Struthio camelus: one gene and its partner. Each later gene encodes a partner of the first gene's protein in a complex. Links are inferred from orthologs where the notes say so. Each region holds a gene or a part of one and is shown on either strand. Other genes may lie near its edges. The genes, in order: GTF2A1 and ERCC3.

Evidence for each region.
Region 2: GTF2A1 (region 1) and ERCC3 share a complex: the UniProt entries of both Homo sapiens proteins name them as parts of the TBP-based Pol II pre-initiation complex. The link is inferred for Struthio camelus from reciprocal best matches to the Homo sapiens genes GTF2A1 and ERCC3.

The regions. Positions count from the first base shown.
Region 1 is NC_090946.1:60,987,729-60,995,658, reverse strand, and holds the start of GTF2A1 (transcription initiation factor IIA subunit 1), read left to right. Parts: upstream 1-4,506; 5' UTR 4,507-4,757; coding exon 4,758-4,787; intron 4,788-5,705; exon of another isoform or gene 5,706-7,930. UniProt on the Homo sapiens protein: TFIIA is a component of the transcription machinery of RNA polymerase II and plays an important role in transcriptional activation. TFIIA in a complex with TBP mediates transcriptional activity.
Region 2 is NC_090947.1:29,887,953-29,895,773, forward strand, and holds the start of ERCC3 (general transcription and DNA repair factor IIH helicase/translocase subunit XPB), read left to right. Parts: upstream 1-4,621; 5' UTR 4,622-4,699; coding exon 4,700-4,718; intron 4,719-4,793; exon of another isoform or gene 4,794-4,815; coding exon 4,816-5,021; intron 5,022-6,009; coding exon 6,010-6,246; intron 6,247-6,894; coding exon 6,895-6,944; intron 6,945-7,821. UniProt on the Homo sapiens protein: ATP-dependent 3'-5' DNA helicase/translocase. Binds dsDNA rather than ssDNA, unzipping it in a translocase rather than classical helicase activity. Component of the general transcription and DNA repair factor IIH (TFIIH) core complex.

The DNA of each region.
Region 1 (7,930 bases):
AAGGTCACATTCTTTTTTGGTACTGTGAGCGTAAGCAAAAAGAGTGAATTAGATGTATAAGCTCTAAATTTATGTGTGAGCATAACTTCAAGCATCTTTTTCTCCAGTTAAGTTTTCTAGACTGACTTGGTTCGGTCTATGCTCCTCTTCTATCTTTTTAATATGTGCTGCTGCAGTTGGAAGTTAGATGTGTAACTCCCCATTCTTTTGGGAAACTGTTAGGAAAGAAGGGGGTAGAAAGCCTCTCTCCCTTCCTGATATTATCATTATGCCACGAAACATGCCTTTAAAAAGTGTTTGCTGGCTTAGCTTGTATTTAGTAGGACAGTGTAATATACTGGCTGAAAACTGTATGCTGCTGTCATGTCCATAGTGGAAGACTTTTCCTGCCCAACTACAGTAGCAAAGACCAGTAGCGTGGACAAAACCTAAGGATGATGAAACTGGAAGATGTGCTGGTGGTAACGCGTGTTCTGTATAATCTGTGTTACAGCTTTGCACTTCTATAATATAGTTAAAGCCAATTTCTGTTTTCCTTGTCTAAATAAGCCCTGGGGAAAATCTGTTTACATAATTACACTTACCAAGTTTATCAGATGTTTCCAGAACTAAGAAATTATAAAGCACTGTGTCAGCAACATCTGATACAAGGTACTCTGTGATTCATTGTATGATCAGAAACGTTTTCACCGAAAAATCAGGGCAATCTGATAGTGATCCTCTAGTTGTATGAGATTAGGCTTATTCATCATCTGTTCTTGGGAGAGAGAACATCAGCTTAACTTTTTTCTTTGTATTTTCTTCAGATGAGCCAAAAAGCCTCTCTATTTAAAAATAAAAAAAAAATAGAGATAAATAAAAAGCTGAAGGTCATAAATATAATCTATCTTGACTTAATACTAAAGAAAGCATCACGATCTTGTGGTTCTTGTTTTCAGTTGAACTAGCCCGCAGCTTTCATGGAAATTACAGATACTTATCACCTTTGAATTTCAAGTCTGCTCCTGCCAGTAGCAAGTATTTATGCAAATATTTTTTATCCCTCTTACATCAGTTCTCCTTTTGCAAAATATCTTCTTGAAAGATATGCTATGCATTAGTAGCAGTCCATTAGTACTTGCAAAGAACCTTAGGATGGAAGTGTTATCAACCCAAAAATCATAATGAAAATGGCTCCCCCCTTCCTACATCTGAATTAAAACAAAAAAAGACAAAAAAACCCCAAACCCTTCTTGTAAAAGATGTAGTTTTGTGACGCACCACAAAGGAGAGGTGCTAAGAACATTTCCATAAACATTTACATTAACTTAACAAACTAATGTTGCAGTAGTAAGTCACTTTCTTGCTCCACTGAGAGCAAGGGATGCTTATGGCACTTACAGAACAGAATCATTCAGGGCACTGAAGTAGGCTGTGCACCTCTGAGTGCATGGCTTTGGCTATAAAAGATGATTTGTGTGTCTTTGTCCTAAACATTTAGATTAGAAATGATTTAGATTTAGAAAGATTGTTGATCATACCTAGGATTGAGCTTGGGACTCTTCTTGTAATGTATGTCCTCACTCAGCATGCCAAGGATTGTTTTTTGATCTAAGGCAGTATTGTGCTTTTTCCTTATGCTATTCCATCTTTGGCACTCTTTTTGCGATGAAGGAAGGAGAGGACCCAAATGTTGTCATCTTCATACTGGGTATAAAGTAATATAATGTGCATCACTATGGAGTTCACGTCTAGATGGTACAGCCGCTATAACATGAACGTCCAGTCAACACTGAAACTTGCACTATTAGAGCAGCAAAATCAGGCTGACTTGGCAATGACAGAAACCTTTGGTAGAAAAAAGACAGGATAGCACATAAGCTTAGTATGATCCACTCCTGACTGGCAAACAAAAGAGAATGCTAATGGATAAACATAGCTAATGCTAGTGGTTATGCTGTCTGTCAGTTTATGTATACTAGTGCTATCCAGGTTATCAGTGTTCCTACTGTACCATAGGTACACACTTATGTTACTCTAGTCTAACAGAATTGCTAAATGAAGTAGAACCCACCAACATGAGTACAACAGGACAGCTGTGGATGCTGGCGAAGCAGGAAGGCGAACAGACTTCAGAAAGCGGCTAACAACTCACTTGCTCTCCCTAAGTAGTAAATCTTACTGCCACCGGATTAGCCAGAGCGCTACCCGACTCAGTAGGGCATTTCTTACGAGGCCTTGATTTTCCTCATAGCAACGTTCTTTTAGAAGCTCTTGGAAGTTAGCAGTGCCACAGATTCCCTGGATATCATTGGAAACTGTGGCTATGCACACAGGATAACCTAGGAGCATAGTCTACTGAACTGTGTGCCTGTTCCACAAAGCAGTATGACACCTCACTGAACCATTACTGCTACCATGTCCACCTGTTAATTTTTGAATGGCTCGGTGGGCCGCCCTCAAAACCAGGGTAGGCTTAGGTCTATCTAAGGAAAGGAACTGTAGCTTTCCAGTGCCACTTGTATCCCTCCCCTTTTCAAGGCAATATGATTCATTCCTGGTGGCACACTAGTTACTGCCTGTCACTTCAGCAGAGCAGGAGACAGAGCGAGTGAGAGAACTAACCATGTGTGAACTCAGCCTGTCCTAGCTGTGAGAAAATAAATGTACCTTTGCTAAAACCTCTTCTTCAAGTTTTGAGTGACTATTTGTGTAGTTATTTCAGCTGTGGAAAATGCAAGGCTTTGACTGTGAGCATTAGACAATTTACAAGTCCAATTTACAAACTCTCTGAGAGAGTTTGATGTCTCTGATAAGTAGGCAGTAAAGGAATACTAGCATTTCAGTCCCTGTAGTTCATGCATGGTTTAGCTAATGTTAGATCATGAATTATGGCTGCTGAGGAGGTAGCACCCCTTCAGTCCTGTCACTTCTGCCATGGGAGTGGAAATGCCCAGCAAAAAGGTGGAGCAGACAGCTGAGGAAGGTAAAACTTTGTAAACTCTGCTAACAGTCTCACGTTCAGGCTATTTTTCTGCCAGGGCTCCAGCAGATCACGCAATGAAGAGTAGGTCCATCAGATGGCCCGCTGTAAATCTGTCATGTCCCTATACAAAGTCTGCGTTTCAGATGGGAGAGGAAGCATTCATCACTATAGAACTGAAGAATTTGGAAGAATGGGATGGGACAGGAAGGTCTTTGTATCGGCCAGCACGTTCCCTCCTACTGAAGGATACCAGACGGTTGTTCTCAGACTTGCTACTTAATGGGTAGGGCGTTAGGTTGAAGGTCACAAGTAGTCGCACAGTCTTCATGCTGAGGAGGTGTAACATGCTATGCTCTATGTGTGAGGAGTCAGAATTCAGCATTACTTTATGTCTGAGTGAGACTTACACAGGTGACTTATTGGTGATAATCTACAGGATGAGTTGGGTTCAAAACTTGCACTAAAAAGGACTGAGTGAAGATGGCAGTGGTGAGTGAACCTAATTTCCATTTAACAGCATTCAAGGTTGAAAGGATTTTCCTGCATTATGTGTCTTACAGGTTGCCATGAAAAAGGGGGATAAGGAAAGGGAGAAGAGGCAATAAAGAGGGGAAACGAGAAGCCACCTGGCATGGCTCTGACAACTCCTCGTGCAGTTGGGAGACCCTGCGGCCACTGACTCCATCAGGATCAGCTAAAGGAAGCAGTTCTGCCCAACGCAACATTGTCTGAGGGCCACAGTGAGTCCCTGATGGAGGACCCTGCTGACTTTTTGATTTTAACCTTCTCCCTGCCCGGGGAAGCTGTAGCCTAGGTTTCCTATCACCAGCCTGGAGTGCGTTGCGGAGCTTGGAAGCACTTTGGGGCCTGTGGCTGACAGAAACAGGCCTTAGGCCCGTGGCTGCTTTGTGTAACTGCTGGTGGCTGAAGGCATGAGCCCCCATCGGGCGAGGCTGAGTTTAAGACGTGTGTCCTTACGGGGCAGGGAGAGCGAGGCTGGGGATTTCTGTTGTTGTTTGGTTATCAGGGAGCAGAGGGCTCCTACAAACGTAGTCGGAGTGGTTTAAGCTCTGCCGTGCCTGGCTGGCAAGGGCTGCCGGCTCACGACCAGCAGTTAAGTGCCAGCTCGGTTGAAGTCAGGCCTCCTAGTGTAACGGCTGCCTGAGGGCACCCGGCAGCCCCCCGGGCCGGGCCCACCCCGCCCCGCCGCAGCCCACTGCTCCCGGACGCGCTGAGGCGAGGCGGGGCGGCGCGGCGGCGGCGGCAGAAGCAGCCACGGCCAGGCGAGCGCCTGGCGCGGTGACATCACGCGGCGAGAGGCGGCGCCTCGCTCCCACCGCCTCTAGCCGGTGAGGCGGCAACGCGGCGACTTCCGCCTCGGTACGCCTGGCGGTGGCGAGAAGGCGGTGCGTGACCTTCCGCACCGACTTCCGCCTCAGTAAGTGTCATGGCGGCGGGGCGGGCACCTCACGTGACGCGCTCGCAAGGGCGCGCTCTCGCGCAGGCTCTCGCGGTGCCTCGCCGCCCCCCCCCCCCGCCCGCGTCCCCCTCTCGCCCTGGCCGCTCGCGCAGCTGCTCGGCTCTCGCTATATAAAGGGGCGAAGCGGGCAGAGCGGGCGGCTGGCGGCGGCGGCTGCAGCCCCAGGGCCGGCGAGCGAGGCCGGGCCAGGCCGCGGGGCTGCCCGTGAGCCGGGGCGGGACGCGCGCGATTTTGGGGGGACGCAGCCGGGCAGGTTTATTGTTTTAGGGGCGACTCCCCCCGCGGTTGGGGGCGTCCCGGGGGGCTCGGGACATGGCGAGCTCGGCTAACACAAACCCCGTGGTAAGGACCGGGTCGGGGGGCGAGGGGGGCCCGGGGGCAGCGCAGGCAGCGGGGGCCGGCAGGGCTCGCTGCCCCCTCCCCCGCGCTGCTTCCCGCCCGCCGCCGCCTCGGACAGTCCCGTCTCTCTTTCTCTCTCTGTCTCTCTCCCTTCCCCCCCCACCCCCGGCGGGAAGGGGCAGCCCGGCGGGGGCGGCGGGGGGCGCGGCGGGGAGCCCACTTGTGGCGCCCGGCGCCGGCCGCCTCGGCGGCGGGGAGGAGAGAGCGGAGCGGCGGGCGGCGGCGGCGGCGCCGAGGGGCGCGGGGAGGCGGCGGCGGCGGCCGGGCGCGGGCGGCCAAGGCGGGCCGCGGAGCCCCGCGGGGAGGCCGGGGCCGCGCCGCCGCCGGTGGGGACGGGAGGGGAGGGGAGGGGCGGCGGGGGGCGCGGGAGGGAGCCGCCGGGACGGGGGCGAGAGCGGAGCGAGGCGCGGGGCCGCCGCCTGCCGCCGCTGCCGTCCCGGCGAGAGGGGAAGCGGCACTCGGGCCAGGTTTCGGTTTTGTGGTGTCTGTGAGGTGAAACCCGCCCGGGCTCTGCTGGAGCCATTTTATGTTGCTTTATAACGAGGCGACGATGGTTGAAAAGCACTTATCCCAGCCCTGCAGGATCGGCTAAACGAGGCGAAAGCCCTTAACTTTTTTCCAGCGAGCGAGGAAGTATTTATTTTAAGAAAGAAAACTCTTACCCCCCCTCCCCGGTCTTCACCTTCTTGTGCTTTCTGCACCTTCTTGGGTGGCTTGCTGTTGTACTGGTATTCACATAGGTTTGCAATAAGCAGTCACATAAACCTGCGTAGCCACCGAGCCCCACCGATCGCTTCTTGCCTTTTCCCCTTTCTACGCCGCAACCGGCCCCGAGCCCGCCCCCGCACCGCCGAGACAAACCGGGAATCCAGGCGGCCCGGCGCGGGCTTGGCCCCTTGTTTGTGGCGCTGGGATCCATCATGGCCGCCCCTGCCTTTCTGTCTCCCTGCGCCTTGTGTTCCTCCTCCCTGCGGCTGCCCTGTTTATATAGAGCTATTGCCGCTCTCTAATATAGACTCTGCCTGGATGGGAAGGTGCTTTCCAGCCCCACGTCACCGCCTCTCCATTTAAACACCACATCAGCCTTTAAATAGGGAGAGAGCCGCGGAGAGCGGGCTGGGAGGTGCATGCATCAGAGGCAGAGGCTGAGAGACAGTCTTTTTGTCACTCGGATCCTGTGCCGGGTTTAGCTGGGTTTGCTGTTGCGCCCGGCTGTTGCTCTTCAGTCCCAGTCGCTGGAGCGAGCGGGCTGTAAAGCAGTTGTGCTTTCTGTCGGCTCGAGTAGAGGGGATGCTCTCCTGACTGGTGATCGCTGGTGTAAATGGACTTTCCCCTGTATTTATGCATTGCACAAAGGAAGGGATTTTTCACCCTTTCCCATGTTGTGAAAGTGTTTGTTTTTTGTTTGCTTGTGGGTGGGATTTTTTTTTTTTCTTCTTAGAGAGTGCAGAGTCCTGTGTGCCCATAAGCTCTTCTAAATAGCCTTTCTGCCGGGTAGGGAAAGAGCAATTTAAATGATTCAGATCCAGTGTGTCAAAAAGAGATGTGGTACTTGTCCTAGGCACTTTGCCAAGGTCCGAGCGCGGGCTGACAGCAGCTCTGGAGCTAAAAGCATCATTAATTAATATTAAAGTTTTGTCTGTGGGTAATGGGCCACAGGTACTACTTAAATACTTGGGAGTGTTTCTGGTGACAAAAGCTAATGAGCATGCAAATATTTTTATTACAGACTGGGAAGAGCAAAGATTTTAGAATTCTACTATTTTTTCATTTAATTCCAATTATTAATTATTTAATTATTTTATATGCTGCTTAAAATAGCAGTAGTAGCAAATGTAAAACATACTATTTTTTTCTTTCAAATCTGAAATTTCACAGACCTGCTTATGATGTAGAGTCATGTAGTCGCCAGGTAGCATCTGTTGCTTGGATATTTTAGCAGATTTTGCATCAGAGAGTCTTAGAAAATTAGTCAGTGATTACATGCAGGGCAGTTGCTCAGTAAAAGCATATCATGTGTGTGACCTAAATCTGTTAGTTATCTTTCTCTTCATAAACCTCTGGCTTTGTTTTTTTAGTTGAAAAGGTTCCATTTCTGTTATTTCTGTACAGTAAATTAGAGGTTTTACTTCTCTCTCTCTCTCCCTCCCTCCCTCCCCCCCCCTTTTTTTTAATCAAGTTAGTAATGAATAGAAGAAAAAAGATATTACTGTGAATAATCTCCAAAGTACTTGTAAATATCTTTGTTGCAGCAGTTTACTCAGGCTTGCTTTCTCTGGGCTGTATCTCTATACTGGAATAACAAAACCTTTGTGAAAGTCTCTCGGGAAATGTCTGTGTTTGAACATTCTGTTCAAATTAACAAAGGCAAAACTTAAAATGAGCCTGATGAAGCTAGCTATGCTTTAGGCTGATTCTCAGCTAAGCAGAACCTTGCAAAGATCTGCCTATTGCGATCAGTAGTGCACGGTTAACTTTGTAAAATTCAAATTTCATTCAGTAGTAACAACGACTGCACTTGCCCACTTTGATAACCCTATGGTTAAGAGCAGTTTGAAACACTGCAGCTGCATGATAACTTTAGCAGGCTAGACTTTTCCAACAGCATCATGTCAACATCTGATCAAATCTCAATTGCTAGAAGTGTGTTCTCCCTAATACAGGGCATATAAAATGTTAATGTTTATATGCAGTAAAAGATTTTGTAGGTGATGAAAGTAATTCCTTTGTAAAAGTCTGACAGCTGCAGTAATTGCTTATAAATATATATTATAAAGTGTTACTTCTTTTTATGCACCTGTTTGATGTAATTGTAACTGAAACTAGTTACCTTTACAATATGTTCTAGCTATCCTTAAAGGAGCTCCATGGGCAAGAGGAATTGATTGGTGGTATTTCAGAGATAATTGCAGAAGTAACCAGGGACAAACATGCTGCAGGCTTTCTGCATTAGACAGCAATATCTCTTCATAATATATTGGTTATTGGAATCCCAACTGTTGAAATCCTGGGCGTTGTAATAAGACCTACAAAGAGGTGCAGTTCCAGTACCCTCGAAACTCTGGTGGAATGCAGGAAACATAAGT
Region 2 (7,821 bases), on another chromosome or scaffold:
TATTAGAGAATACCAATGGAAAGAATACTGTTGCAGGGTTATATTTTGCTTTTCTGTAAATGCCAAGATGAAGCTGTACTCGCAGAAAATAAGAGTCAAGGTTGATAGCGAGTATGTGTATTTTCAAAGGACTTATCTGCTAATGAATCTTATTATTCTGGCTGTTTACACATATTAAGTAACAAAAGTTTAACGACTTGTATAACTTGACTTTAGTGGTGATAACTTTCATGGCATTTTTTGCTCGTGGCTCTCTCTGGCACAAATAGAATTTTTATTGCTGTTTCAGCCGATCTTATTAAACTTCTGTGTATTTTTTAACCAACTTTGGCTGGAATGAGGAAAATGATGAATAACCGTTCACACAAGTTCCATTTGATGGGAACACAAATGGGTGAGCCTTGATCCAGCCCAGTCCTGTTCGAGGAGCAGATTGTTCATTTTTAATTTGGAGGATGATAATATCCATGCCAGTACAGAAAAAAGGTATGGGTATAATTGACTTTTTTCTTGATTGATAAATCTGTTACTTTCTCAGTTTTAATTTAGTCTTAAAAACTCACTTGATTTGCAATTCCTACTGTAGCTAAACAGTCCTCTCAGTATACCAGCATGATAAGTTATTTAACAGCTGGTTTTTTAGCTAGTGCCTTTTTATCTGTATGCCTTAGTTTTGTTCATATTTGAACACCGTATTGAAATGCTATGGCTGTCGTACAATTCTGTGTCACCAAAACAGTCTTTGAGTACATTTCTCAAGTGCCCAAACCAAAATTCACTAACTGCATTGAAAAGTGTTCTTCATGTGTAATCTGCTGTAGACTTTTAAATTGAGACTTTAAAAAAGTGATTTTTGAAGTACTTCCTGATGAGTACTACCTAAGCTAATACAGTTTTCATATTGCATTTTGGAGACTGTAAACTGATGCAGAAAAACTACTTCTCTGCACTCATACAGACGCTGTTACAGCCAAGATACAGTTTCCTAGCTCTCTGGGTACTAGACTCTGGTTTTACTGCAGAGATCTTAAAAGTTCTTAATGGGCTAGTAAGTGACGGTTGGTGTACTTCTAAATATGTTACTGTACTCAAAGTTGTCTACTTTCAATATAGAGGAATATTAGTTCTGATTTAGCAGTTCGGCAAACTCCTCAGTGAAGCTAGCTTTGTTCCCGTTAAACTGTTCCCTGTTTCTGTTAGATAATCCTAATCCTGCCATTGTCTTGACTGAAAGCCTTCTTGCAGCACCAGGAGGTACAGTGCAGTACAGCAAGCCATTCTTTTTAGACAACATAGAGCAATGCGTATGCAGCTTCAGAGACTTGAGCAAATTGATCAGATCTATAGTTACTTAAAATTGAATTTTGATTTTTTTTTTTTCAGTCTTGAAAGTTTGTCATGCATATGAAAAAGCGTAACTTGTGTGCTTGAATGTAAGTCCATATGGTGTTTCTGGAAAAGCAAAAGTATTACTGCCAGTATCTCTTCTTCTTGCTGGTAACTTGCTGTCTTGTGTTCATGACAAGTATGCAGTGTAAAATCACATACAATTACCAAAGCTTTTCTATCCCCATCTACATATAGCCAAAAGTGATGTTTCATGGATTAGTACTGTTCCTTATATACGCATATATATGTCAGTAAGCTATCGCTAACTGAAGAAAGCAGGTACTAGTAAAAAGTGATGGACACTGCCCATATTTAAAAGATTTGGGTGTTTGTTGTTGCTGTTTTGATGTGCAAAATTCATGCCAGCATTAAAATGAAGAGTTTGTTTTTTAAAACTCTTTTTAACTTAATCTTATCGATGTCATTCTAAAAATAACGTACAAGCTTGGTGACTGCATTTGGCAACTTACTTTGTAGCCAGGTTTGAGTTTTGGGACACTTACGGAATACCATGAAGAAAAGTAGATTCGTGATCCACGTTGCTCTGTGCTCCACAATAAGAAAATTTCAAAGCTGCTGCGAAGCAGTCTGTTTTACTTCAGAGCCAGATCTCACCCACAACTTTAAGGGGTGTATGCTGCCTTCAAGAGGAGCCCCAAACGCACACCAAAGGGGGCAGAATTGCTTCCAAACTGGGGTTTCTAACTCAAAATTCTTGATCGGAAGCAAAGGATCTTTTTTCATTTTATTTTCTCTGCTTTGCCTATGCACAGTCCATTTTTTCATTTTAATTGGCATTACTGAAATACTGCGTAGGTGGTGGCCACCGATAGCTTCTGAATTTCACGAGCGTTAACATAGAGCGAAATGCCACGGCTCCGCCACGGGAGTCAGAGGCCCTGCAGATCCCTGCTGCTGGAGGGAGTCGGGCTCAGGCTGCGGGGTGGGCGCGCTGGGGCAGAGCAGCGTCGCGCGGCCCTGCGCTCCGGGGATGCGACCCGTGTCCTGCAGCTCCTGGCCATACGGGGAGTTTGGCAGGTGACTCTCGTGGCCACGCGCTGTGCTACATAAAGCAACTGGTTGGTTTCTCTCTAGCAATGTATACATCCGTATATTTGAGGGGCAAGGGGAGATGGAGAAAATTCTCGTGTATCAAACAGTGTTAGCAGTCATGCTTTGGCTAGGTCTTATTTCTTCATGAACCTGCTTTAAAGGGAGAGGAACTGGATTAAATACGTTAAAATCCTATCTTGTGATTCAGTCCTTACTCTGAGTCCACTGATCAGGACTGGAGGTCAAGGTCTTTTGTGGGGAAATAAGGAAAAGGATATGGTAACTCTAGAGTGGCTACTTGCAGGAAATATTTCAAATGTTTTTCATGTCTTTTCCCCCAATAATAGCTTATCCTTTTCCCCAAAGAGTATATAATGTGGATTTAAAAACAAGGATTGCATTTTCTTTTCTGAACAGGCATCAGATTGTCAGTTTCCTAGTGTTTGTTTCTCATGAATACCAGTTTAAAAGGTGGTGTCATCCTAAAATTGAAATAGTTTATTATGAAAAATAGTGTCTGTCATCTCAGACCTCACGCAAGTCATATAAAGGAATATCATTGTAAATATGTGGAGGGAGACTTAGATAAATTGGAACGTAGGCTTTTAGTTTTCATGAAGCTAGGAATTAAAATTTGTAAATTTACTCTTGATCTAATGTACATTTTTTTATGTAGCCATTAAATTCTCTATTTAATCTATCAGTTTCTCACTGTAAATGTTTTTACTCTCAGTTGAATGCTGGGCACAGTTTGTAATGTATGTACACAAAGGTGTTTTTTTCTATCAACGTTGACTTTTTTGCACATTTCTGGAAATATTTAATTTGTACACTGATTTAATACTCTGACCAATTGTTGAGGGGCGTATGAGAATCACGTGTGTGTGCAATGTACTACTGTCTGGATGTATGGTTTTTTTATTACTTTTGAGATGTTGCTATCAGTAACTGCACTGCTGTTGCTGCTTTACATGGAATATCTTGTGTATAAAAAAGAAAAAAAATTAAAAATTAGCCTATGGTTATCTTGGTTGAGGAACTCAGGAGTTGAGCGTTGCTTACTAGTTCCATTTGTCTAACAACCTTCCAAACTTAAGGGTACTTGTAATTCTATGTATGCGTTGAATGGTTGTGTGTATATATATATATCCCAGTAATCTTATTCCACAATTTCATTTTTACATTTTTATGAACTTGTTTTTTAAGGGTACTATGTTTAGTTAGAATAATTAAATATATAAAAGCTTTGAGAGATTATTTACTAGATAAATATATTTTCAGCTGGCTGATGTTCAAAATATTTTTTTAATTTTTGTTTTTAACCATTCAAAATGTATTTGTATTTCCAAAATCAGACACGAATTGTACTTTAGAGATGATATTAAAACACTCTGTAGGGACAACAGTGTGATTTCTCTTTTAAGAATTTTGTTTAAAAAAAAAAAACGGACAAAAAACCCCAAATGCTGAAGTATTTAATTGATGCAGAGAAAATACACTGTTCTGAAAAGGTGAAAAGCAATCTTTGAATCCCCAGAGCTGACTGGGGAATAAAGAAGGGGGAAGACAACACCAGTCGGGGAAGCCCCTTCTGCGCTCCCCTGCCCCGGTCTGCCTCGGGCTCTCCTTGGCAGCCCCTCTCCCTTGCTCCTTCGCTCATGCTGGGAAAAGATTAAAGCACCTTTGTCCCCCTGCTGATGGGTGAACGTCATACGTTGGCAACATGCTTTAAAGACTTGGCCTACTCTCTTACACGAGCAGCATGTCAATCCAACACCTGAATTTCCAGTGCTCTTCAGAAAGCCTAAAGCGGTGCCAAGGAAGGCTTGTCGCGCTAGTCCCGCGGCGCGCTGCTGCCTTGTCCTTAAGCCCTAGCTCAGAAAGAGCTGACCGACTCCGTGCGCTCTGTCCGTCGCCTCTCATGCACGTTTGACTTTGTTATGTTTTCAAAACTGTTCTTGTTTAAAAAAAAATTATAAACATTTTTGATTTTTTTTTAAACCAGTTTCTCTGTATTTACCTGTTTTATTTTCTTGCTGGTCGCTGCCTTTCCGTTCGCCCGGGCGGGCAGCAGCCACCTCCCTCCCCTGCGCGGGCGGCCGCGGCGCCTGCCGAAAACGGCGCTTTGAGCGTCCCCAAACGGGAATATTCCACTTCCCGCTCTGCCCCCGGCGCGGCGGGCGGCCGTGACGTCACGCCCCTCCCCGGCGGAAGTGACGCGACCGTTCCCCCCCCCACACTGCGGGGCGAGGCGGCCATGGGCAGGAAGGAGCGGGGTGAGCGCGGCGGGGGCGGTGGGGGGGGGGGTCCGGCTCCCACCCCCCATTCAACGCCCCCCCCCCCCCGCTCACCCCGCTCCTGATGGTTTCGCAGACAAGAAGAAGTCCAAGAAGCGCCATTACGAAGAGGACGACGAGGAGGACGATGACGCTGCCGGCAAAGACCCGCAGGAAGCGGTGCCGTCCGCGGCCGGGAAGCAGGTGGAGGAGAGCGGCGCCCGGGTGGACGAGTACGGCGCCAAGGATTACCGGCAGCACATGCCGCTGAAGGCCGACCACGCCTCGCGGCCCCTCTGGGTGGTGCGTGCGGGCCGCGCGGCCGGCGGGGGCGGGCGGGGGCCGCCGCGCCGGGCGCTCCTTTCTGCACGCGTGCAGTCACCTTAACGGGTTGGGGGAGCACGAGTACGTTAGCTAGCTGTTTCCGGGAGGAATGCGAAACCGGCTCTGGCAGAAACCGGTGGAGTTAATAAGACAAGTAGGATGCGTTGGTCCCTCACGCAGTAACTTGGTTTGTACGTTGGAATGAAACGTCACTAATCAACGTGGTCTGATATCCCCTATCTGGTACCGTTTGTTTTCTCTGCGTTAAAAGGGAAGTCAAGAAACCTATGTAAAACATGGCCAATAGCGAAAGCATATTTAGAAGAGGCAGCTGCCCTGCCAGCTTCTGCAGGGTGTCTGTTATTGAATGCTGTGAAACACAGTTGGCACCTTTCCTCCTCTCTTCCTTCTGGTAAAATGGGGGACGGGGAGGAAGGGAAGTTTGGAAGCTTGCTCCTGTTTGGAGCAAGAAAATGTATTTTTTTTTTTAATTGTTAAAACAAAGAATGAGAAAAAGGCTAAGATGTTAGTCTAGAAAGCTTAATCAATCTGGATGTGTTTTTTTTGTTAGCATCCTAGAAAGGCTACTGACAAACGCAGAAGATGAAAGTTTCATATTCCTGTATCTCCTTCTGTGTCTTGTCAGTTTTTGTAGTTCTGTGTAAAGTTTTCTCTTTTTTTTAAAGAGTCTCAACACCTTGATGGGGAGAAACAGCTACAGTGATATACAGTGTATATTGTGTTAGTTTCTTCATTTCTTTAATTTAGGTCTTGTTTATAAAATTATATTATTTCTGCTTGTTGTAATTTCATTGTTAGGGTCGTCACTTTTTCTGAAACGTGGTGATAACGTTATCACCTAAAGAGTGAAGTCATTCTGTGTCATAACAGCTGTTTGACAGGACACTCCTTGTTTTTCTCAACTAACATTGGTGTGCTTTCAGCATGTTTTTTCTTCCTTGTGTAGGCTCCTGATGGCCATATCTTTCTGGAAGCCTTTTCTCCAGTTTACAAATACGCACAGGATTTTTTGGTTGCTATTGCTGAGCCAGTGTGCAGACCAACACACATCCATGAATACAAGCTGACTGCTTACTCGCTTTATGCTGCTGTTAGTGTTGGCTTACAAACAAGCGACATCACAGAGTATTTACAAAAACTGAGCAAGACTGGTGTCCCAGATGGAATAATTCAGTTTATCAAGGTAAGCCTATTATGGGAAATTTATCTGCTGCTACTGCGGAAATCTCTTCCTGCTGCTGCTGCTGCTTCATTGGTTTTTACTCACTCATTGCTTTCACAGTCATATTCTATCCTGTTACTCTGTTTCAAGAGGTCAGAGACTTTACTGTGGATAAAGACAAAAAATAAGATACATGGTTGCACAAATAATATTTTCATAATGTAGCCTATATGTGGCTTATAGCTTGAAATGGAGGTCCTAAAACAAAGCCTTAGTGTGCATGCTTTAGGCCAGAGGAAACGCACGTGGAGTAAGCTTCCTCATATTTACTCTGAAGGTTAGTAATGTGGGAAGTTAGCTGGAGTAGTTGGTGCACTATAAAACAGAGCCTCCTTATCTTGCAAGTGTGTTTTTGCCATCCTAGAAGGAGACTGGAATTGAATATAAAAACTGAATGTCTGTGGTTGATCTCCTATGTGAGATGATGTATGCATAATCTGAAAGTAGTTGTTAAAGTAGTTTTTTTTCCCTAAGCATAATAACACTGTAAGTAAATGTTTGACTCTGTTGCCCTTTCCCACAAAAAATGGAAATGTGTTGCAGTATCTGATCCCAAACCTAGAAACAATCCTTTATACGTTCCTAATGACTATTCTTATTTGTTTGTAGCTGTGTACTGTCAGCTATGGGAAGGTAAAGCTGGTACTGAAACACAACAGGTAAGCAGCTTCTTCCTTAATTAGCATGGAGGAGGAAGTCTTCGAAACAAGCGCACCGCTGTACATAAACAACTCTGACTGTGGTCTCAGTAGCTGTTGAGTTGAAAACTGCGTTACAGCTCCCAGTTGATTGCGACATACATTACCACAAGATCATATTCTCAGTTGTTTCAAAGCATTTAATGCATTAGTCAATGCATTCAGTTTGACTCTCCTGAGCTCCTGGTGCTGATCATTACGTTACTGCAACAGGATACTAATTTGATGTTCTAGCTTGTTTCTTTATTGCTTGGACTTGCAATGTCTCATTAAGGTTTTCAGATAATTGTTTCATTCATTCACTCCCAATTTATAAGAATCTAGGTTAGAAAGCTTTTCTACAGCTGTCCTTCAGTCTCATGTGTTTTTATTTGTAATCTGTTATTCAGGAAGGACAAGCAAGTGGCCTGACAAGAGGCGTGTGTTTGTGTGAAATCTGCTTACTGGATTGAATCTGATGTGTTCTATGTATGGAAGATAAAGTTGGAAGGAATCTTGAGAGATCCACTGGTTTAGAGCTAACCGGTTTTATGTAAACCTATGATTTTGAGGTAGCGAGAGGAGAGGGAAGGAGAAAGCAGAAAACTCAAACTTCTCCTAACACTTTCCTGTGTTATCCCTGTCTCCCTTTCTTTTCTTCATAAAGTTCTTTTCTGTCTTACAGCCGCAGTTGAGCCCTAGGACTCTAATCTAGTGTGCTGCTGCTTCTTTTTTGATTCTAAAACTAATGCTAGGATTATTAGCAGGCTTTTATTGTCTTATTAGATGTCTCCAAGAAAAACATTTCCCCTTTGCCTGTTCAGATTTAAGTCTCTCTTGGTTCACATTTTAACTGTGC